Drosophila melanogaster: one gene and its partners. The protein of the gene in region 1 interacts with the protein of each later gene in a pairwise test. Each region holds a gene or a part of one and is shown in the gene's direction. Other genes may lie near its edges.

Region 1 (9,215 bases):
CGCATTCAGGCGCTGGAGTCCAAGATGAAGATGAAGTCCAATGGCGGCTTCCGTTTCGTGGACTAAATGTGTTATCCTGTTTTTAAAGTTTCATGATTTCATGATTGAGACGACGAGTAAACCAAATAAATAAATTCCAAGATTCATTTGAATTTAATGGGAATTTATGGTAACACTCGATTAATAAATAGCTTTATTCAACTTATTCGCATTCGTATAATTTGGATTTCGTTAAATTTTCATTTGATCTGGCACATATTTAATACACACTCATTATAACAATGCAAGAAGCCCAAACGCAAGCACTTTAGACCTTAGATTTTTGGCAAAATGAGTATAAAGTACAATGTTGAAAATTCAAGTGGTTTAATTAAAAGTACCGAATAAATTACTGGATTATTAGTTTATGTGTATATAGAATATACGGCTGTATATATCTGGACCTACGCACTACATTTTGTATATATATATATATATGCACGCATCTGTAAGTTCAAAGAGTAATGCACCTCCATTCAAAAATAGACTTTTGTGACCTCAGTTTGTGCTCAACCTCGGATTCAGGGGGTGGTTGTGTTTAGCACGACGGCATGTGGCAACGAAATTCGCTGGCTGCTTCTGCAAACCGATTCCGGATCAAGTAGCCGCTAATCACCTCAGCCACCTCGTGTGGACGGTCCTCGTGCACGGCGTGACCGCAGCGGGCCAAGACCTGCATCTGGAAGCGACCCTGCATCTGGCCAACAGTCAGGGTGCGGTCCAGTCCATCGATGCTGGCGAGGAGTAGTTGCTTGGGCAGGCGCAAGTTAAGGAACTTATCGCTCAGCCCCGAAAACCAGCCCACCCAGTACTTCTCCGACTTGGACAGATCAATGCGCCAGGTGTAACTGAGAAGCAATCAATGAATAATTTGTGTTTTAACTAAAATAAAATAAATTGGACTACGTACTTTTTGGCCGCTTCGGTTGTCGATTTGGTCGTGTTGGGCTTCTTGAAATCCGCGCCAGCTGCGGCACTTTCTGAGGAGCCATCGGCGGCGTCATCGCCCGGCGGTGACGATTCTTCATCCTCCGAAATGCTAAACGGATTGGGAAACATACTGTTGTGGTGGGCCTCCTCCAATACATCATCTGGTAATGGCAGATCATTCGTTGCCAGTTTGTTCGTTGTACAACTGCGTGGGATTGATTTATTATTACTTTTCTGTCGTTTACGACAATCCTACTCACTTTATTATCTGTCCCGGCATGGACACTTTGGCGCTGTCCACATTGCGCACTTGGCCGCTTCGGATGCACCACTCGATAGCATTCGGAATACTCTGGAAATACTTTGGACGGGAGCGCAGAAAGCTCTGCATGCTGGCTAGTGCCTCCATGGCTGTGCCCTCCACAACATCGATGACGGTTATTCCAATCAAATTGGGCACCAGAGCCATGTGGGCAAAGTGGACGGCGATGGCGCCGCCCATCGAGTGGCCAACCACAAAAAGCTGCGGCACTTCTTCAGGATAGAGCTTCAGGATTAAGTCACCGATGTCCCTGTTTAGAATATTTTAAACATTATTATAGATTATAGATTAGATTATTATGGTTTTTAGCTTCAACCGTGAATAAAGTAACTATAAAAAACTAAATAATATTTACAAATGAGTGATCGTTCAAATAGATCGACCTACTTTAAGTGCAGTGCGCTATTTTTATAAATAAAGAGATTATGCAAGTTTAGCCTAATCGTTCATAAAGCTAAGAGTTAATGCGAGAAGTTTTACTCGACAAAATCTTAAAAATATTGGTTTTTAATGTAAGCAGTAGAAAAATTTGCATAACCATCTCTAAAACATATTTTGAGAACAATATTTTTTTGGATTCAACTCACTTAGCCAACGTATCAGCGGAGAGATCGTCCTCGTCGTCCACCTTGCTGTCCCCATGACCTCGCATATCGATGCACAGGCACTGGCAGTGGATCATGCTGGTCACCTCAGACTTAAATGGATATATGTACATGTTAAGACTATTTAACAGAATATATCGCATTCACTCACACAAAAGTGCGCCCAGGTGAGGGCAGAGTAGCCACCGCCGTGGAGCAGAAGGAGAACTGGACCCGGCTTCTCCGGTTGCTTGGTGCGATAGATGCGGAAGGTGCGTTGCTCATCCACCGTGACGTCCTCCTTCTCCGCAAAGAATTCGTTCCACATGCCCGGCTTGTAGTCGCGAATGCGCGACTTCTTGAACGAGTCCCTGTAATTAGCCAAATTGGGTAGAGATTGCGTACTCCCCACTCCAGTCGCAGAATACCCTGCACTTACGCTCTGCCAATGCGCCCGCCAGGAATTGTGGGTGGCAGCTTGCCCTTCAACATCGTGCGCTGTAAACTCGACATTGATCCGATTGTCTTCGCTGTGGGGTCAACAGGTGGTGCTCCTACGGTGCAGGTGCAAGTGGTTATTCACACAGTCGTTGCTCGCAATTATCCGTTTTCGAAAACAAAAAAATAGTTCCAATTCAACGAAGAAGTATTGCAGTGTGACCGTAATCGAGAAAACCGTAACTGACGCCAGCTGGCAGCGCTGGTTCAAGAGCTGCACTTGGCAATGCCCTTGTCTGGCAACGCCTAACCGCAACAGTCAACATTTCAAATTCCAAAACGGATATTTTAGGCTTTTGCAATCAAAGACGAAAATCCGTACCATACTGAAACAACAACAGTTGTATATTTTAATGTTTGTACATTTTAATCAATTAAGTATTTTAAAAGTTTATCTACGAAAAAATTGATGAGCTCCCCGAAACACTTGTACCTTATCAGCTTTGTAAATACTTCACATTAATGGCAAAATAATAAGCAAGGTAATAACCTTTCGCAAAGTGGATGTCAAAACCACTTTTTAAAGCAGACAAAATTTGGAAACCAGTTTTTTAGAATGCTAACAAGAAAGAATTCATATGCTATGAAGATGTTTGACCCATTTAACGGTAAAGACAGCTAGTTATAAACTAACAAAGCTCTCAACAAGTTCCTACTGATACACACAGTGCAACATCGCTAGCTGGGAAACTGGTGTTCTATAAGGTCTCCGAGCATTTATATTTCAGTAATGCTACTGATAAGGAAGTATCACTTTATTGTTCATAGTATTCCGGACTAAGCAAAAACGGAAACGGAACGGGCCGGATTGCTCAGTTGCTTGATGGAACGCGACGTGCTCACACCGAAAACTAGAACTCCTCTCTGATAAGACGGCACCAAGTTAATTTGACCTCAAACAGAGAAAGATAAGGCATTGTTGGGTATGTATCGGCAAAAGTGTAAAAATCTTGACAAAATCCTTTATATCTGTGTTTATTCTGGTATGTAAACAAAAGGTAAGCTCAATACAGGTTAAGTTTATGGTTTCGAGATAAGATAAATGTCATGTTTGTCATTAATGGTCTATTTAGATTATGCGGCAGTAAGTTTAAGCGGTAGTACTTTTGAAAAACAATTACCAGCTAAGAACTTTATTGCCAAATAATTTACTATTAGTTGGGACTAGACATAAACATCAATTTCGCGGATAAATATTCAAAATAAAATCTTTATCCATTGCGCATTTCAAGGGTTAATGCTTCTGCAAGCCTGGCAACTCCTAAATAACAGCTGTTGGCTATAGTCCTCTCGCTCCCGCACACCCTTCCTTTTCATTTACCGGCAGAAATTGCACTTTTGTACTTGTTTTTTGCCCAATTAAGCGGTCAAATTGGCGTCAATCTAATGTTTTAGTGACTTTGATGCCGTTTCCCCAACTGATAACCGCAATGTTAGTACATCACTTTGTGTGCTAATAGCTATTTGGACATATTGATAAGGTGAGATGGGTTGATAAGCTAATTTTTGCACAACCACAGGTGCAATTGTTTTTCCCTTTGCCACGGCTATTTGTTTACGTATGTAAATTTGTTTTTGCCCATAAATTTAGATTAACCAGTTGCGACACGTTTACGGTTCGTCGACTGCGAAAATAATGGGCATTATTAAAGTTTCACCCGCCTGCAGGTGAACATGACTGCCAACGGGAACGGAACTGCTCAGGATTTGGGTGCCGGCATTGAAATCGTGGCCCCACAGAAGCTCCAGCCGGAATCCAAGGTTTACGGGCGCGTGCAGCAATTGACCGCATTTTTCAAACAACAATTCGGAGCGAATCCGGACTTTATCGTTCGAGTGCCAGGAAGGTGAGCAGTTCCACTCGTGGTGCACATCTATAGTCCCTTATCGATGATATCTCCTCCTTCTCCTAGGGTCAACATCATTGGCGAGCATGTGGACTACTGCGGCTATTCGGTGCTGCCCATGGCTGTAAGCCAGAGCATTTTCCTTGCAGTGGCCAAGAATCCTAGTGATAGCCAGCTTCAACTCAGAAATCTCGAGGAAGCGAAGTTTACGGGCTACGATGCCGATCTCAAAACGCTCAGGTGGGTGAATCAGAAACATGATAATTACCGACCTTAAGCACTAGAAAATTTTCCATTTAATTTGTTATAATAACAATGTCACCTTGAAGGCGGTATCTAAACGAATTTAGAAATGATAAGTCCAAATATTTTTTTGCTATTTTAGAATCGAGCTTCCAAAGAGTGGTGGACCCGCTTGGTATAACTACTTCTTGTGCGGCATCAAAGGAATACAGGAGAGTCTGGGCAGCCAGTGGAAGCCCATTGGCATGCGCATTGCTGTGGACGGTAATGTGCCCTTGGCGGCAGGACTCTCCAGTTCGAGTGCCATGGTCAGCTCCGCTGTGTTGGCCACCGCACACGTCCAGGGCAAGAAACTAGATCGCAGGGAGCTGGCTTCCATTTCGGCCATGTGTGAGCAGTACATTGGAACGCACAGTGGTGGTATGGATCAGGCAATAGCCTATTTGGGCAGAGTTGGCTGCGCCCACCACATCGAGTTCCATCCCAAGCTCAAGGGCACTCCGGTGACCTTGCCAGCGGGCAAGTGCTTCGTTGTGGCCAACAGTCTGGCTCAAAAGAACAAGGCTGCTTCGTCGGACTACAATGAACGAGTGGTGGAATGCCGATTGGCCACTAGATGGCTGGCCAAGCGCAAGGGCTTGATCAACTGGGAGGATATTGTGCGCTTCATTGATCTAGAGGAGGCGTGCCAAATGGATAATGAGACTTTCGAGAAGTTGATTAAGGACAACTTAACGAAGAGCAACTACACGCGAGCGGATATCTGCAAGGAGTTGGGAGTCACCGAACAGGAACTGGAGACCAAGTTCCTATCCGCCAACACTCGGCACATGGAGCAGTTCAAGCTGCGTCAACGTGCTCTGCATGTTATTCAGGGTAAGTTAATCATTTACAATCAGGATTTCACATTTAATCTGAATCATTACGTGTACATTAAATTTATTGATCACCAAATGAATAATTACAGTCAATTAATAATACGTTGACATTCATTTGTTGTCCGAAAGATTTAAACTCTTAGCAAATAATATTAAATTGCAAGATCAGTTAATAACATTGTTTCCGCCTAACAGAATCCGGTCGCGTGGCCAAATTCCGGAAAATTTGTGAGGAACTCGCCGGCGGAGCCAATAAGGAAGGTGCAAAACAGCTGGGTGAGCTCATGCGGCAATCCCACGAGAGTTTAAGGGAGCTATACGAATGCTCTCATCCTGATGTAGAGCGCCTGATTGCCATATCGAACCAGCAGAACGTTAGCGCCCGAGTCACTGGAGCTGGGTAAGAAAACCGATATCCTAGTGACTCTATGAATTTAATCAACATTATTCTTTTTCAGTTGGGGCGGTTGTATAGTTGCCATGTGCGATTCCATAGAAGCAGCTGATGAGTACATAAAGGTTTTGAAGCGCGATTACTATGCTCAATTGCCAACACATCTCCTGGAGCGTCATCAGCCCAACAACTTTAGCGAAGTGGTCTTTGCCACTCTACCAGGAAACGGAGCCGAGTTGTATATACAGTGAACGCTTGTGTAGCATTTTAATCCAACTTTTATACCAAAATCATCCTATCAGTCACTATAATCAAACGGTCATTTATAGAAAAAACATTTAATATGTAGAGTACTATGTACAATATATTAACAATTTACAAGCTAAAATACAACAAGGCACGTGGGGAACGGAACTCATCTGGCATCGTGAGTTCTATCTGCTACTCAGATAGCCGGCGTTCTTGAAGAGCTTGTACACCTGTTCGCGCGGTATTTTCTCCGCCTCACGATGTACCACTGCCATTTCCTTCTTCGTGAGCAGTGATTCCTTGGCCAGATTGGCAGCGATCACGGGATCATTGTAGAACCGCGCACTCTTCGACAGCTCAGCCGGCAACTCAGACTCCCACTGGGCATTTCGCACCACCGAGGGATGGGCATCGGCTGTTGCATATCCCTGGTACGGATTGGCCGGTTCGTAAGCGTGCGCAACCGGCAGACCCAGCGCCTGGTGGTAGAAGAACTGGGCCCGAACCGAACTCATGGCCAGAAGCAGGCATCCAGCGAGCAGCGTTACTTGGCAGGCGGTCGGCATGATTGGCTGCTGGAGGGGAGAAAAGGAGCAGGAGCTGGCATTATTGTCCAACGTTCTAATAAAGCGATACGGACAGATTTATTGCCGCTGGTCAGTGGCAGTTTTTAATCTACAAGTCGGCTGTCAGTTTCGTGCGTCATAAATTATGTACGGGAAAATCAATTATCGCATATGGCCAATGGAGTGGGCAACGCGGAGATCTTGGCTCAAACTGTTACAGTTGCTAATCCATGAACTTTTTTGCAACTTGGAACTGGCTTTTTTTTATTGATAAGAATTGGACTGGCCGCGAACTAAATGGCGAGCTTTATTTGTCAAGCGTAGAGTGCTCCAATTTGGTCGCAACAAAGCAATCGTAGCTTGAGATATAAGTACAGTGGTCTCTCTAGAACTCTTTTGAGATTTTAATTGCAATTGGGTAATTTGCTATAAGGATTGGTGAAAATATTATTTTTTATTTTACGTTATAATGACATTATCGAAGATGCATTTACCAAATGTATTAATTAAGAATACGTTAGCAATGAAATTGATTTAAATCATGATCATCCTTTTTAGGCTTTGATATATTCACTTCGAACTGAAACCCTGATATAATCCTTGAAAATGTGACATTCGTTATTAGATTATACACTCTTTAAACCTTTCTACTTTTTAATGATCACAGCCACTGTACATGCATTTTTATTATGCGCCATTAAATGCATTTACATATTCCAAGTCCAAATTGATACGTTGATTCAGCCAAAGTCAAGGTTACGATCCCACACAACCGAATCGGATTTCGGTTCTCCAAAAAGCACCCACTCGCACAAACACACGACACTCACTCACTTTGATCTGGACTTATTTCAACGGCTAATCCTCGAGAGAAGCACTTCAAATGAAACTGGAACACCTGGGTGAAGTTGAGACTGTAAACTGATCATAGAATATCGAGACGGCGAACTTTTATTCGCTTGCCGTTGAATGCCACAAAAACGAGTTGAACTCAAGTCTGTGAGTCAACCGATTTTCGAATCTCGCTCAAAGCGCCGCTTCTGAGCGCCGAGAATGAGTCAAGTTTTTTTTTCAGACCAGGCTGCTGCTTTACATTTTATTAAATTAATTATGGTCGCAGTGGAGTGGATTGGATTGGATTGAAGTGTAGAGTAGAGTGGAGCGAAGCGGAGGGGACTGCAATTCTGGTACAGACTGACCTAGGCCTAGGCGCTCAGCTTGGGCAATTAAAAGCAATGATATCTGTCTCCGTTTCTCATGCTCCATAAAAGTGCCCCCCAAAAAAGGTCGGACTGCCAGTCGGCAGCGTTATACGCATGGCAAAAGTCGCACAGATATATATCAACGTGCACCATATACAAATACTCGCAAAAACAATAGTTTGAACAATTGATAACTCAATTGGTTTATTATTATTCAAAGATTATTCATCGCAGCACAGAAATAAATATTATATGTTTAACTTTTTAAAAGGATAACTTTCATATAATACAATATCATTCCATTTAAAATTGTATACATAACAAATTTTTGACAGTATTTTGTATATTTTCCAATCACATATTAAATGTATGTATTTTCACAACTAATGCCCGATTTCGTGCACTGTATAGGTAGTAGTGCGATTACAATGATTGACAAGTTTGCTCAGAATCCATGTCCGACTCAATCCGAGCTTTGTGCGATTTTGAAAGTGCCAATTGACCCTGAATTTAATGCTGAGCCAGTAGAGTCTGAAACTCGAGCCGAGCTCCGTGGTGGCTGCACATGTTTGACCCTAATTTGCCACGGGTGTCGGGCGTACATAAATCTGGGGTTATTCAACCGATCAGCCCATAGGCGGAAGCATTACCCGGAGTTGCCTGCACTGGATTGAAATTGCCATAATCACTTGCCGGATGGCAGCCTTGAACTTTCCCGATCTCAGGTGCGTATCCAACTTGGCCAGCGGATTGGTATTTACATTGTTTGGCTGCTTGGATTTTTCGTTTTCGAATTCGCCTCGTCTCTGGGAGTGGTCTCTCGTTTATTGGCCGTGGCTGATTTGATATTTAATTAATGGCCATTTAGCGGCTTTGTAGATGCATATAATAAATAAACAAATTGCTTGGCCCCTGCATTGTTGACTGCGGCCAAAGTTAATGAGCTTGGTCTTTGAACTTTATTAGGCTTTGTCTTCAGCTACGTGACCGAAAATTCGGTGGAACTCTACTGCTGATTGTGTGTTAGATGGATATTTGTAGAAATTATGAATTCATATTTATGATGGGTTTGGTGCTCAATCTCTTATAATCATGGTTTCAAAAAAAGGTCTTATTTTTAAAATCCAAAATCTAAATGACTTAAGGACTAGCTTAATTTTGACTACTGTTCTTTTTAAGGTGCAGTACTGTGGATTAATCCAAAAAGTAAACCCCTTTCATTACATACTTATGTGCTTTGCTTAATTTTTATGCGCATTGCCTCGACCCACACGCAGTGCCTGCCAAGGACGGCCAATGCAATTTCAAGTGCACGAATTGGTGGGCCAATGCAAACGACTCTCGGCCGACGCGGCGTATGAGCAACATCCGCTTTGGCGGGGCGGCGCATAAAGTATACGCACCCGAGTCCGAGTCCGAGTCGAGTGAAAGTGCAGTGCGGTGACCCTGAACGAGGAGAGTCA
Region 2 (8,882 bases), 3.5 Mb from region 1:
GTATCTCAATTTGCATTCCATTTAAGCCATGCAAAATATTTCTATTAGAAAAATATATCTCAGCCTTTACTAACAACTAGCACCGAAATAAAAATTCCGCAATCTGGTGGGGAAAAAATATTTTTAATTTTGCTGATTGTAGTTGCCTACAACTACAAAGGTACACGAAAAATTCTTATCAACAAACGTTGCAAAAATGTGTGCAATTAAAATCTCTCAGCATACAAAAACAACAAGAAAAAAAAACAGAAGTAAAAAATAAGAAACAAGTAGAAAGAAAATGTAAATTCAGCAAAACAAACATAAGAGAAATTAAAAGAAGTCCAAAGAAGGTTCTGGGAATCATTGGATTTTAATTAACAGAAAAAAAGGAAGGGAAAAGGGGGCAAAAAAGCGGTAACAAAGCCAAAGGACCTTCGGCATTGGTAAAAAAAAGAATATACACATGCATATTCTCTGCACTTTGTTTGTGTGTTTTTTTAGTTTACTCCGGAACTTTGGTCCTTGGTTTGTACTCAATGATTTTGGGTTTTCATTGCATGATTGCACTTTTGCGGTATTTCATTTACTCGATTTTTACTCGGTTGTGGTAATCAAACAGTTCATTTGTACCAATTTCTTGGGTATTTTAGCCAATGGATTTTCAGATATTTTGAAACAATCACTTAAACTTTGCGAAGCTTTGAATGCTACAAAAATAAATTGGTTACAGACAACTATTTCTGACTTACAAAGGGCATATTTAACAAATTTATAATGGTTTCTTTTTCTCTAGTAATTAAACATTTTTTATATGGCTTAAAAAACGTTTTGGACGTTTTTTAGGAGTTTCACAGGGGCTTACGTGAAATCTCTGGAAGCTGGAAAAACACACGAATGCCGCCAGACTCGGTGATGAATCTAGGCCCCAGGATGCATTGCGCCATATACAAACCCCCCATCAGATCGCCGAGAATCCTTTCCAGTCGCTGGCGACACACGCACCGGGTCAATTTCATGCAACACAAACAAGGGGAGGAGTTGTGGAACGGGGCAAGGAGCAGCTTTGCTGCGTGGAGGACACGTTTTCCCTCGCTTTCACCCGCTTCTCCGCCGCCATTCCTTTGAGGAGCAGCCAGGCGGACAGAAAGGCGAGCAGGTGCTCAGCTGTAACTAAACGTCCGTTTTAACATTGCCATCTGATGGTCCTGCTTCTTGTTTCCCAGATTTTGGATGGGGTGTGGCATGTGGCACATGTCAGTTGCTGGTCACGTCGCATGCAGGGGCATAATTGATAGTTCAATCTGTTGCAGATCAAACGCTTGACAGCAGCCAACAGATCAAGCTGAAAAATTGTCCAGCAGCAAGTTTGGCCAAAGAGGTGGGAACATTTGATTATATTTGATTTGTTGAGCTAATTCCAAAGAAAAATATGCTAAGTATAGAATAAATTTCATATATCTTTTTATAAAAGAGTAATCATGAGTACCTATAAGTATTGTTTCATTCATACTCCTGACTTTAATTTACCCAAAACCATTTATTATTTTAATCTCAAAAAATCTGTACTTAAATAATCCGCACTTTCTTTTATGCAACTTTATTTTTATATTAATGGATTTGTCCTTTCAGGCTGCACTTTATATTTTCCAACTTCGTGACTGTTTGTCAACCCAAAGGCGACTGAAGAAGGGATGGAAAAAAGGTCAGCCAGACAGCATAAAAACATCCTTCAGACAAATAGATTTGTATGCTTTTAAGTAATTTGCAGCACAAATTGAAATACCATGGCTAGCTTTCTATGCAACTGCAGCTTGCAAATCCACTTTAAACTAGAGATACAAATTTCTTCAATCTGTTTATACATTTTCAACTAATTCTACTTAATGCCGTATTTTGTGTGCCACTCATGTTTTGTCGCTTAATTTTAATGGCTTGCCGGGCATTAAACTTCTAGCTTCATTTATGTTTATGTTCGCATTTTTATTCGTGTAATTTACGCGTCGAGTGCTGATCATAAATTGTGACTCGAACTTCGCTGTCGGAAAGGTCACGTGGGCTCATTAAAGACCCAACAACACCGTGAACTGGAACAAGAACAATAAGTGTAATAACAGCAGCAATAAGAGTCACAAAAGGCGCACACAAAACACATGCGAACAGGATAAAATGATTTACCTTCGAAATGAAAGAATATAAAATGACACTCATTTCACAAGCAATACGTGTGTAAAAAAACACCAGTAGGGGAAATACTTAAAGAAAACCCCAGAGAAGCTTCCTGCCTTATATTTTGCTTAAAATTAACCTTTATAAACAAAACAATCTATGACGCCACGATAAGACTTCAATACGTAATTGGCTTATCACTAGATTAGAATATTACGGAAACTATCTTGTGTTGCTCGTGTTGAAATGGCACTTAAGAAAAATAATTCAGAAGTTAACGATAACATAAAATCACAAATCACAATCACTAGAATGAAAACGATATTCTATAAATTTCAAAGAATTTCTAATTAAATCTAATCAAAATGTCATTAATATAAGCTACCGACGTTGTATCAGGAAATAGCTTTTGCTATAGACAAGACAGTTGGCCTAGTTAACAAGTCAGTGTGGAGTTAAACTCGCAGGCGAAAAGACCTATTAAAAATATATAGTACAATTTAGAAAGGGGAGTTGTTATGCAAGGTAAATCTAAGATATTCTATGCAAGTACAATGCAATAAATTATTATGTCAATTATACATAAATATTTAAACTTAAATACTAGTAATAGTCTCTGTATGTTTTTTTTTTTGTATTATTATTGTATTCTTTCCTTTTCCAGATAATATTTTCAAGCCTTTGCCATGGCTTCTGGTGGTTATCGCCGTATTCTGGAGCTGGCAGCTAAATGTTTTGGCCCTGCCAAAGATCGAACCTCGTCACGAAACTTGCAACAATGAACAGCGATACGAAAACCAGGTGATGTGCGAGGGCAAGGACTTTGGTGCTTTGGTACCGTATCCGGATAACTGTAGTTTGTTCCTAGTTTGCGACTGTCTCTATCCCACGGTGAAGTTGTGTCCCGCAAATCTCTGGTGGGATAATAAGACCCAGCAATGTAATTATCCCCAAGCTGTAGAATGTATCTACTACTCGATTGAAACGCCAGAACCTACGGATGGAACTACTCGATTTACGCCAGAACCAACATCCAGTACTCAAAAGATAACGCCAGAACCCACAGAACCACCATCAAGTACGGCAAAGATAACGACAGAAAGTACCACCGGAACCAGTACAGAGATAACGTCCTCTACCCCCTCAAGTTACCTCCCAACATCCAGTTGGGATCCACCACCGGCACCACCGGGAATTTCAGATGACTACTGTCGCAACAAGGAGGATGGCTCGGTACATTATTATCCATATGACTGCCAGGCCTATATAAACTGCACTTACGGCTGGCCCGTGCTAAATTACTGTATTGAAGACAAGGTATTCAATAAGTACCTTGGCATTTGCGATACTCCCGATATGGCAGATTGCGAGGAGCTGCCCCTTCCTACAACCACAACAGAAATGCCGCCCACTTCAACAACTGAGGAGGATGTGGTTTGCGGTCCAACGCCGGAGGGAATTGAAGAGGATTATTGTGTGCCGAAGGGAAATGGTTTCTATGAGTATCCTTACAATTGCAGTGGGTACTTGGCCTGCAAAAATGGTTGCACAGATTTGGATTACTGCCAGCCGGATAAACTCTTTAATAATTGGCTGCACATCTGCGATACACCCGATTCGGTGCGGTGTGACCCCCTGCCATTCCCCACAACTCCGGGAACAACCAACAAACCAACGACGCCTTCAGTCACGACGACGCCTTCAATCACTACAACTCCTTCAACGCCTACAACACTGCCTTCTGATGGGTCTACAACGGAAATACATTCTAGCACCACAGAAGAGATTGTAACCACTACAGATGGACTTCCCTCTGATGTCGATCCAAATGATTGTAAAGATGAAAAGGACGGCACTATTTTTGCCTACATAGGCAATTGTTCGGAGTACTTAATATGTAAAGACAATCAAGTGCAAATGGGTCATTGTCCTCCTAATACGCTCTTCAATCCCGACTTGCTTGTATGCGATGAGCCAGATGATGTTGTGTGCCTTGGAGATCGCACCACGACACCAATTCCAACCACCATACCAACTACTACTACTGAAAAAACCACTCCTACCACGACTACCACCACAGTGGCAACAACTTTGGGACCAGATCAGCTTTGCGATGGTCAGGAGTTGGGAGCTTCGTTTTCTTATCCGGATGATTGCAGCAAGTATTATCTTTGCTTGGGCGGCGGACAATGGACTCTGGCACCCTGCATTTACGGCAGTTATTTTGATCCCAGCACAGGTCAGTGTGGACCTGATGTGGCACCCGATGCGTGCAAACCATCACAAGTCACAACCACCACAACAACAACAACGACAGAGACCACAACAACCGAAAGAAATACCACACCCAAGTCCACAGCTACAACCACCGAAAGGACAACCACAACTGTGGCCCCAAAAACTGGTATTTGCGGTGGTCGAAATGAGAACGAGAATATTGCTTATCCCAACAACTGCACCAAGTACATTGTGTGCGTTTCACCAATTCCCATAGCGTTCTTCTGTCCCGATGGTACATTCTTCAGTTCCAAGTTAGAGAAGTGCATTGATGATTGGGATGAAAGTGATTGTGAGGGTGATCAAAGCACAACGACTCTAGAACCAGGCTATACAAGACCTCCTCCGGAACCGACCATGTGTACAAATAGCAGTCGGGATACATTCCCATATCCGGACAATTGTCAATGGTTCATACGCTGTGTGGATGATTACATTTACATGATGGACGTCTGTAATTGTGGGGAGTACTACGATCCAATTACTGAAAAGTGTGGAGCGGATGTTCCTTCAGATGCCTGTCGATGGGACTACACTTCAACCACATCAACTACCAGTGAGCCGACAACGACCACAGCGGTTACGAGACCACCACCGCAGAAAGGACCTTGTGACGACGTCGAGGATGGGGCCCTTGTCGCTTATCCCAACGATTGTTCGAAGTATATTCAGTGCGATAGACCCATTGCGGTTGCCTTTGAATGCGAAAAAGGAGATGAATTTAGTGTGGAGCTTGGAAAATGTGTTGATGCTTCACTCGCCAATTGTTCGATTACAACCACTGCTAAGCCATCGGAGTCGACGACTACACCAAGAGACGGGGAAGGCTCAACAACGCCTTCCGAACCATCAACGGGATCTTCTACAGAATCGTCTACAGAATCAACAACAGAACCATCTACAGAATCAACAACAGAATCAACAACAGAATCAACAACGGAATCAACAACAGAATCATCTACAGGACAATCAACAGAAACTACAGAATCATCTACAGTATTATCTACTGATACTTCTGAATCACCTTCAACAATTTCAACACCACCATCATCTACTACAATGGAACCAGGAACAACTAACCCGGAAGCTTCTACAACTGAAAAGCCGGCAGATGGAATTTGTGAAGGCAAGACAGACGACTCCTTGGTACCCTACCCGAGAAACTGTAGCAAGTATATAAAGTGCCAATATCCAATACCAGTTGGTTACGATTGTCCGGATGGTTTGGAGTTTAGTCCCACGGAATTGACCTGCATGGATCCCGAACTAGCTGGTTGTAGCACTAAGTTAACCACACCAGGGCTTACAACTTTAAGTACAGAAGCTTCGTCTACACCGGTAACAACAGTTTCAACAACACCCGAGGCTACCACTACAGAAATGTCAACTACTCCAAAGACTACTACTACCGAGTCAACCACAATCTCAACAACAACCACAGATTCAACCACTCCCCAAACAACTACAACAGAATCGACAACTTCCAAAACAACTACCACAGAATCAACGATAATTTCAACAACTCCAACGACAACCGAGCCAACAACTCCAAAGACCACTACTACCGAGTCAACCACAATCCCAACAACAACCACAGAATCAACTACAGCTACAACCACTCCCCAAACAACTACCACGGAATCAACGACAATTTCAACAACTCCAAAGACTACTACTACAGAGTCAACGACAGTTTCAACAACCCCAACGACAACCGAGTCAACGACAATTTCAACAACCCCAACGACAACCGAGCCAACAACCGTTTCAACAACTCCAAAGACAACAACCACCGAATCGACAACAGTAACAACAACAACTGAATCGACAACCACAGTTTCTACACCAACAACTCTAGATCCGTACACCCCCAATATATGCTGTGGCCAAGCTCTTGGAACTCTGCTTCCGTATCCCAATGATTGCGGTCGCTATGTCGTCTGTGACTATCCCATTCCATATGCCGTGGATTGCGATGAGGGAACGATTTTCGATGATAATCTTCTTCAATGCACCTCTGTTCCCAATGAAAGGTGTCTTTTTATTGAATTTTAAAAAAATATATTAATAAAGCATAAATCACAGCAATAATCTTTTCCATTTCTGTTCTTTTTGCTACCCCAAAAAATCAATTGGGTAAATGCACAAATGCTCAATAGCTGGGAATCGCTTAACATATTCCTCACACATTACACTTCTAGGGCTTTCTAAGTCCTTTTTTAAGTGTTTCACTTTTTAGACATATACTTTGCTCCAGTTTTAGTATCAATTACATGCAAACCCTTTTCCCGTAATATGTCGCAAAAAAACGGAACCAAGAAAAAAAAAGTAATTTACCACTTAACACAGTCAATTCCCCGGACAGGTAACAAGCCGATTGGAATTGCAGAACCTCCTGTCGAAAGGATTGCAAACGAAGACCCTCAAGGGGACGCAAACGCGCGACAGTATTTTTAGCAACAGGCTAAAAGCAGTTTCCCCTTGACAATGCCACGTCTGATATCCTGCTCAGTTACAAGTTTCAGCCATTTATCGTAGCCTGATACTGCCGTTCTTGGCCCAAAGCTGAAACCCTCGGAAGCTCGTCTAATCAGATTTGGGGTTGGCCACATAAAAACACAATTGCCAAGGAATTATCCTTAGGGTGTGAGGTGGCAGGCAGGACATATACAATTGAGGGTAAATATAACAAGCACAAGGATAAGTTGTTCAGTTTTGTTGTTGCTACTGCGGTTGTTGTTGTGGAAATCGAAGAAAGGGAAAGGAAACCAAAGCAAGTTATGTATGTGAGCATCAATGACAGTAACGACACAAAATGAACACAATTCGAGCAAATTGTTTGGCAATAATGTTAACTTAATGCGTTCCATTTGTCGCACTTGAATCGATAGACACGCGCGAAGGCGCTCCTTCGAGTGATTTGTAACGCTTTGATAGCCACCCAGGATAAACAAGGATTTGTGCTTGTGTCTAGAGGGATAATCGTGGAGGAGCCCCAAAATTGAGCAACAAGTCACAAGAATTTCACTTAATTGAAGATAAGACTTTGCCTTACAGCCGGGCCGATTAAATGATTTTAAATTGGGATTTTATCATTAAATGCTTATAAATTAAATATCGATTGCCTGGGTGTCGCCTCAAACTGAATCTCGATGCCAAGTTGGGTAATAAAAAAACAATTTTACCTAGATTTGCCTTGGCAGATTTAGTTGAATCACTGCCAAATGAAAGAGCTGCCCAAAAGTGTTGAACAGGCAACACCCAAGAAGTTGGACTAACTTTCGAAGGGGAAGAACTAAATTTCATAATTGTTTAGTTTCTTCTCTTAATAAGAAATATTTGAATACTTAGTGTATTAATTATTTTAGTTCAACTCCTTATAATAACATATATTCCGCGATGGCAATATAACCTATACTGGGCAACAGGCCAATCCTTTTCAAAAACCCATAAATGTACCATTTAGTGTATGCATAATGTGTGCCAAGAAAGCAGTAGAGTTAGAATTTAATAGTGAAAGTTTTTGGGGGCATAAACAACACTTAAAACTAATTACAGGTAAGAATTCCCCAGCTAATTGCCAGGGAAGGCAACTTAATGGGGGAATAGAAGGAAACTTTCACAAAACTCTCAAATTGTAACGATATCCAGACATAACTAACAATTATCAAAATCTCAATGCGATGCAGTTGAAGGAGACACAAATCGCAGCGAAAACATTTTCGAAGCACTCGACACATGCACATGCATATGCACATGTATATCAAATTGCCATTGCAGAAACTCGGAATTCCCCTTCTTGCCCCATTTTCATGCATGAGTTTAGTTTATAAAACTTTTGCTGGCGCATATTAATGTGCAGCTCCAATCCATTTATGTAAAATGTATTTTATGTTTCCCGCGAGAATTTAAACCATGTGCTGGATGCCCCAGCAGTTAGACAGACAGCCAAAGTTCAGGCCTTTCAATGTTTTTTTTTGCCTTGTTTTTTTGCTGTATTAAATGGCAAAATTTCATTGCGAAAATTGGTAACTTTGAAATATTTACATTTTAGTAACATTTCATAAAAAGCTTATGCAAAATAAATGGGTATGGAAAAGCCGGAAAAGTGGTTTACTGGTATTTATGGGAACATAATCAAATGTTATAGCCAGTTAGGGGCAAATGCAACTAAACTATAGCAAAGCAGACTGAGTTCTTTTTTAAGGTGGAAGGGGAAAATGCTCTTAACTTTTAGTTCAGTGAACTGAAAGCATTTGTTTAAAGTTAAAAGGTTTTCATTTCAGGTAGTATTTAAATTAACTAAATGTTTTAAACGCAAATCATATGGAGAGATATACCTTTTTTGGGTTCAAATAATTTTAAATGATAATAATAACATCATTATATGTTTGTCATTCAGTACCATAAGTAATATAATTTGTAGGTTGGTTTCCATAAAAATAAACTAATCTAAT
Region 3 (6,460 bases), on another chromosome or scaffold:
TACTACTTAATTGAACATTGCAAACGGTCTGGTGTACATAAACAATTATAAGTGAAGCATATTCTTAATTGAAAATACTTAAACTTTTTAACAGTTTTCACAATTAGCTGCCAACTTATGTGGCTATGTCCCCTCAGCCCCTCAGCACCAGTCAGCCGTTTGTTTGTCTTGATTTCATGGTGACGTCTTTTGCGGCGGCTTCTTCTTGGTCCGCTGGCCGCTTAAGCCTGCTCTTCTTCTTGCCCGGCGTCTGCCGTTAGTGCCGGTGTGCCACCGCTGCAGTTGGAACGGGCTCTCCAAAACCGGGGCTTTTCTTCGAAGACGGCCGGCAGCTATAAATTGACTGGCGGCTGGTAGGGACCGGCATCAGTCGCAGCCTCTAGCTCATCCAGCACAGTCGCTTGAAAACGCAGAAACCTCAACTCAAGATGGTCAGTGAAGGATTACAAGTTCAGCTTGAAACAAGGATACATCGATTTAACAATATTATTTGACAAAATTTTTTTTTTTTTTGCGGTGCTTAAAAAATTTGCTGTGTTTGTAATGTGTGAAGTGTGTTGTCCTACTTGCAGAAATTCCTTATTGCCTTCGCCCTGTTCGCCTGCGTGGCCGCCGATGTTAGCCACCTGAGCAACGAGTACCTGCCCCCCGTCCAGAGCTCGTACGCCGCTCCCTCGGTGAGCTACTCCGCACCAGCCGTGCAGCAGACCTACGCCGCTCCAGCCATCCAGCAGTCGTATGTCGCCCCCAGCAACGAGTACCTGCCTCCTGTGCAGACCTACTCCGCACCGGCCGTCCAGAGGACCTACTCCGCACCAGCTGTCCAGAGGACCTACTCCGCCCCCTCTGTTAGCTACTCGGCACCCTCTGTGAGCTACTCGGCTCCATCGGTCAGCTACTCCGCTCCTGCTGTCCAGCAGTCGTACTCCGCTCCATCGGTCAGCTACTCCGCCCCTGCTGTCCAGCAGTCGTACTCCGCTCCATCGGTCAGCTACTCCGCCCCTGCTGTCCAGCAGTCGTACTCCGCTCCTGCCGTCAGCTACTCCGCCCCATCGGTGAGCTACTCTGCACCCTCCGTGGATGTGGGCACCCAGTACGCCTCCAACGGTGGCTACGTCTACAGGAAGTAGGGATCTTCAACGAAGAGGCCTGCAACTGAACACGAAACAGTGTCCATAACTACATACTGCCCAAATTAACCATATATTTTTTTTTTTTGTTTTGTAAACTTTTGTTTACAACGAAATAAACCGAAACATCAATAATCCAAATAAATACTTTTGTTTTTAAAATGGGTTTCAGAGTTATAAAAACAAGCGTCTAATATTAATATTAATAAAATTTTTAACAAGTGTATCCCTATTCACTTTATATCAAAATTCCGGACCAGGATACCAAAATAGCGTACTAAAAACCACGCGCGACTTGAGTGCGGTTTGGTTGCGGTTTAGGTGCGGTTTTGTTGCGGTTTTGATGCGGTTTGAGTGCGGTTCGTTTTCAAAATCGAACGTCAAAAGCAAGTGCTTGTTGGTGCTTAATACTTCAGAGTAGACAAAAGGTGGCACTTTATAAGCCAATAAAAATATAATAAAGTATACGAATGATATGTCCATACAAAGTAAAGAAGATTTATTGGCATTAGTCTATAATGGTAATTTTCAAAATTAAAAAGCTTAATTCTTCGACTAGTTAACACTAAAACCTGTAGGACAAGAACATAAACATTTAACATACATCAATGTTTTAACTAAGTATTAGCGTTAAAAAATATAATATAAAGCTTTAATTAAGTTGGGCTTTTTATAAACAGCTTGCAGCTTTGATTAAACTTGGAAGCTGCGACTATTTTAAGCATTTTCAAAGAGCTTTTAGTTTAAATATAGCATGAAACTTTATGGTTTTCCTAGTTTTAACACTAAGCTTTTGAGTATTTCAAAACTATGACTTGCAGATACATTTTCTGAGAGTGCTTGGCATTTCTGAAAAATTATTTACTCAAGACTTTTTGAAATCATTCAAAACCATTATTTAGTATATTACAGTAAATAAAACGAACCTCCTCGACGTTTTTCCTGTTTTTAATTAACACCCTTTTGCTTTCAGGTAGTAATTTTTAAAATTTAATATTCATCATAAAGCTGAGCAAGAACTTGAATCTAAATCAAATAAAATGTTACCCTTTCATTGTTCTTTCTTTTCGTTTATTGAATCTTTTTCATTATCGCCTCTTTTCTTTGTGCGATGCTGAATTTAACATTCGATTTCGGCGTTAGTTTATTTATGTAAAATCCGGCCGCTAAATTAAATTTTATAGTTCAGTTTTGGCACCTCCCCTCGCACCTTCGATCACCTTTGGATTGGCGATTATTTATGGAACCTTTGTGATGATGCAAAGCAATTTCCGTTCGCCGAATGCGAAAGTGAAATGAGCCGGCCGCGAATTTATGTAATATGTTGATATGCCGTCTTATATATGGCGGATTTGGGGCCCGTGGCCGCATAGCCACCGTCGCCGTGCAAGTTCCCAGAGATCAAACCGGAGCTCGAGATGATGCAGCCATGGGCCGTTGTGGTCCTACTTCTGCCCCTGATCAACGGAGATGTGAGTCACCTGCCCAGGGAATATATACCGCCCAGTGCGGAACTGGAGCCAACCACACGGTCTGCTGCTGATGGCCAGGAGGTGCAGAAGGATCCATCTGGATTCTATCCATCGACTGGACTGCCACTGCCGCCGGGCTATGCCATTCCCACGGGCAGCAACGTTTTGCCACAGCCTGTCCAGCCGCCAAACTTCCCTCTGCCCATCTATCCACCATTCTACGGCTTCGGCGGAGGTCCTGTCGAGCAGGGAGGAGGACATGGTATTGGGCCAGTGCCTTCGGCCTATCCCAACGGAGGTGCATTCCCGGCGGGTCCTACCAATGGAGGCGCATTCGCAGGGGGTCCTACGAATGCGGCCTTCCAACTGCCACCAGGTGGTCCTTTCGGTCCGCAAGCTGGTAATTTTGCCCAGCCAGGTGGTTTCCCGCAGGCAGGTGGGTTTCCCCCACAAGGAGCTGGCTTCCAGCCACAAGGCATCCCTGGCAATGGATTCCCAACGCAAGGAGCTCCCTTCTCACCACAGCAGGGAGTGTTCCCATCACAAGGAGGTGCCTTCGGGCCACAGGGAATACCGGGCAATGGTTTCCTAGGAGGTAACTTCCCGCCACAGGGAGGGCCCTTCCCAGGATCCGCATATCCACCGGAGTTCTTGACAAACCAGGGACTTCCCCTCACAAATCCCCAGGGTCCCTTCCAAGGACCCAGTCCAGCAGGATTCAATGTGCCCGCAGGATTCGGCGGACCTGTGCCCGGCCAGAATCCCTACCAACAATTTGGACCCGGTTTCGGAGGACCCGCTCCGCCGGGCTACTCCGATGAGCCGGCGAAGGAGCAACCAAAGGACAGTGAGAGGACAGTAGTGGCACCACCATCGGCCGACGATCCCAAGAGTGTGGCGGATACGGTTTACGCATCCAATGGCGGCTATGTCTACAAGAGGGCCAAGTAATGCGATGGCTTTCGAAGCCCCAAATTGGGGAGTTCATCAAACATGTTCGCCATAAATTATGATCCATATTTTGTTTTTTTTTTTTCTTGTATTTTTTGTGCCTTTGTTTTTATTCATTTATTTGATCTGCTGGCCATAAAGATGCGGACAGACAAAACGATTGTCTCTATGCTAATCGAAATCTTTGCCAAAACTGACTGATAACCATAAACGAGACAATCTATCGTCGTGATTGATACATATATATAGACAGACCTATGTTTTATGCATACCCTGGCCAGACACATATGTGTTCATAAACTATGTTGTCTTCAAAAGTCAATACAAGGCGATTAAAGGCTGAAATAAAAAACACGATTAGTGGTTTGGGTGTGGACTAAAACCGAAGTCCTACGATAATTATGCACATTCACCATCAAGGTTTATTGAACTCTGATATGTTTCTGGATGGAATTAAGTTTAAACAAAATGGTACAAGAATTAAAAAAAAAAACATCCACAACTTAAAAGCAGTAATAGTTTATCATGCAACAACAATGGATCATTAAAAATGGATTTATGTTTATCATTTCATATTCTAAAATAAATCCAACTTAAAAACGAATAAATTCAAATGATTGTCTTACATGTATAAATTTTGAATTGACGTCACAGAAAAGAGGTAGAGAAAGAAGCTGCCCACCTAAAGGGCAAACTTAATCGATTTAAGTTAATTTCAGCGAAATTCAAAGAACCTTCTGAGTTAATTTTAGCTTCGCGATATTTTTTTTTTTTTTTTTAATTTGCCAAACTAGTTTCTGACGTCAAAGAGTTTCCCCTAAAGAACATACATACATTTATGATAATGAACTTCTTTTCGTGAACTTAAGATGGTTATCGAAAAGGGGATTTTTCCATAGTTTAAAACCAGACTTATTCAACTCCCATGTTTGGTTTCAAAAGTCTATAGACTTCAACTAGCCCGAATTGATTTTTTATTCATCTTTTTTTTTTTTTTTTGATGTCTCCACTGAATTATTTATATGTGGCTTTTGATTGTGTTGTTGTTATACAGTAAATACATTAAAAGTCTTTATAACAACTTTTTTATGGCTTTGCCAAATGGTAAAAAATGTCTTTTTGTCTTTTGGGAGAGCTTTTGTCACCTTTTATGACACGCTTCATCAACTTACATTAGTTGGTTCATATACTTACATCAAGTGGTTTATCAACTTACATCAGTTGGGCGGTTTAGTGCTGCTATTTACTTCTGGTTGCTTAACATTCATTTGTATTTAGTGTTTTACTACACTTTCAAGTAAAATAACCTTATAAAGTAAAACAATATATAAAATAATGAACTAATTTTAAAGTATTTTATTAAAGCAGTATTGCTCTTCAGGCAATATATCACTTTTTAACAAACTTTTTTGCAATTTGCTTACTTATTTAGATATAGATTGTAACTAGAACATGTATATTATATCTTATACATCTGAGTTTTTCTATCTTTCACTCAAGCTCAAGCCCTTCCGTTTGTCGTATATGCAAATCGAAAGTGGCTAATCCAAATCAATTCAGCAGCTTTGTTGCAATTTTCGCTAAAGTCGAACTCAGCTGAATATTCATCACGATCGTGAGCTATAGCTTTTGGATATATAGAGGCTGTTCGCACAGCAATTAGTCATAATTAAGGCAGACTGTGCCCGCGGTTGTCAGAGGCCCTCAACTTGACATTTTCCTTTGTGGACTCGAACCTTAACTTGTTTTCAATTTGTCACATTTCTGCGCGTTTTTGTTCACTTTTTTGTGCGGGGCGCGTGTTTGGGGCGCCAGGTGCAAAAGAAGAAGAAAATGATGATGACAATGATGAAGATGAAGAAGAAGTTCGCATTCAAATGAATGGCCTCCGAAGATCCGCATAGTATGGTCTTTGTATTATCTTGTAAGCCCATGACATGCCCATCATAATAATCACCGCGACACACGCCTACGAGATGCATATGAAATCGTATCGAATCCATATCGAGATCCCCTGATTACCAATAATATATGGCCCATTGAAAATGTCCGAAGGTTGGACACGTTTCTGCCACCGAGTGAGATCTCAGTAGATATGCTATATTGTTGGGAAATCGGCCTGGTAGGCCCGGGCCCTTAAACGATTAACATTTTATCATAAATTCAAAACCTAAAGCTAAGACAATGGACGAAAGTCGCAGGAAAAAATCGCAGATGCTTTTGTGCATAGAATGTTGGTGCCACTGAACAAATAAATTATATTTCATTATGCCAATGTTGCAAATAAATATTTATAATTTTCCAAAAAAAAAAAATGTTATCAATAAATATCATTTTAGAATGCAATTTTCAGTTTGGTTTCCTCACGTATTTAAACCTAATGTAATAATCTGGTAAGGCAATGTAACTTGCATTACCTGCTGAAAATATAAGTGCATTGCACTTAAGTCAAAGTGGCCAAGGTGTCAATTGACCAAATGGACACAATCCAAGCCAACAAGCGATTGATAAATATTTGAGCTTTGTTTTTGACATAGATGCACCGAAAGAAAATGAGGTATGGTACACAAAAATCAAGCAAATCAACCATATACGAAAATGATATGCCACAAGTTCAAAAAGAACGTATTAATCAAAAATATGGTTTATTCTAAAGCAATATTGCAACAAAACGTTATTCTTTAACAACGAATATTTTCTAATAATTTCTATTAGGATTTATATAATTTCTGTTGCAAATTTCTATAGTTCCACAGTGAACAAAATTAAAAATGCACCATAAAAAAAAAACTTGGATGTGTAACCATATATTTGGCCATTGTGAACTGTTTGTTATCACACGGAGGCTTTGGCGAGTGTTCGCTGTGAGTCGTGCTTTTGGCCATTTAATAATCCGCACCGAAATGA

What was found. The genes of interacting proteins can lie anywhere in the genome.
Region 2: the proteins of Galk (region 1) and CG4835 interact in a two-hybrid assay, tested with the Drosophila melanogaster proteins (one large-scale study listed by BioGRID).
Region 3: the proteins of Galk (region 1) and CG11581 interact in a two-hybrid assay, tested with the Drosophila melanogaster proteins (one large-scale study listed by BioGRID).

The regions. Positions count from the first base shown.
Region 1 is NT_037436.4:8,980,058-8,989,272, reverse strand, and holds Galk (galactokinase), read left to right. Parts: upstream 1-3,181; 5' UTR 3,182-3,296; intron 3,297-3,456; exon of another isoform or gene 3,457-3,854; intron 3,855-3,964; exon of another isoform or gene 3,965-4,041; 5' UTR 4,042-4,047; coding exon 4,048-4,220; intron 4,221-4,286; coding exon 4,287-4,460; intron 4,461-4,605; coding exon 4,606-5,339; intron 5,340-5,536; coding exon 5,537-5,741; intron 5,742-5,799; coding exon 5,800-5,986; 3' UTR 5,987-6,169; coding exon of another isoform or gene 6,170-6,550; 3' UTR 6,551-7,061; downstream 7,062-9,215. Other genes in the region: CG5280 (uncharacterized protein), read left to right, coding at 1-66; CG5068 (uncharacterized protein), read right to left, coding at 578-887, 950-1,174, 1,230-1,541, 1,879-1,988, 2,048-2,246, 2,315-2,388; CG13314 (uncharacterized protein), read right to left, coding at 6,170-6,550.
Region 2 is NT_037436.4:5,477,184-5,486,065, forward strand, and holds CG4835 (uncharacterized protein), read left to right. Parts: upstream 1-2,606; 5' UTR 2,607-2,666; coding exon 2,667-2,673; intron 2,674-2,812; coding exon 2,813-6,480; downstream 6,481-8,882.
Region 3 is NC_004354.4:14,174,399-14,180,858, forward strand, and holds CG11581 (uncharacterized protein), read left to right. Parts: upstream 1-2,524; 5' UTR 2,525-2,548; coding exon 2,549-3,553; 3' UTR 3,554-4,058; downstream 4,059-6,460. Other genes in the region: CG1368 (uncharacterized protein), read left to right, coding at 429-431, 573-1,130.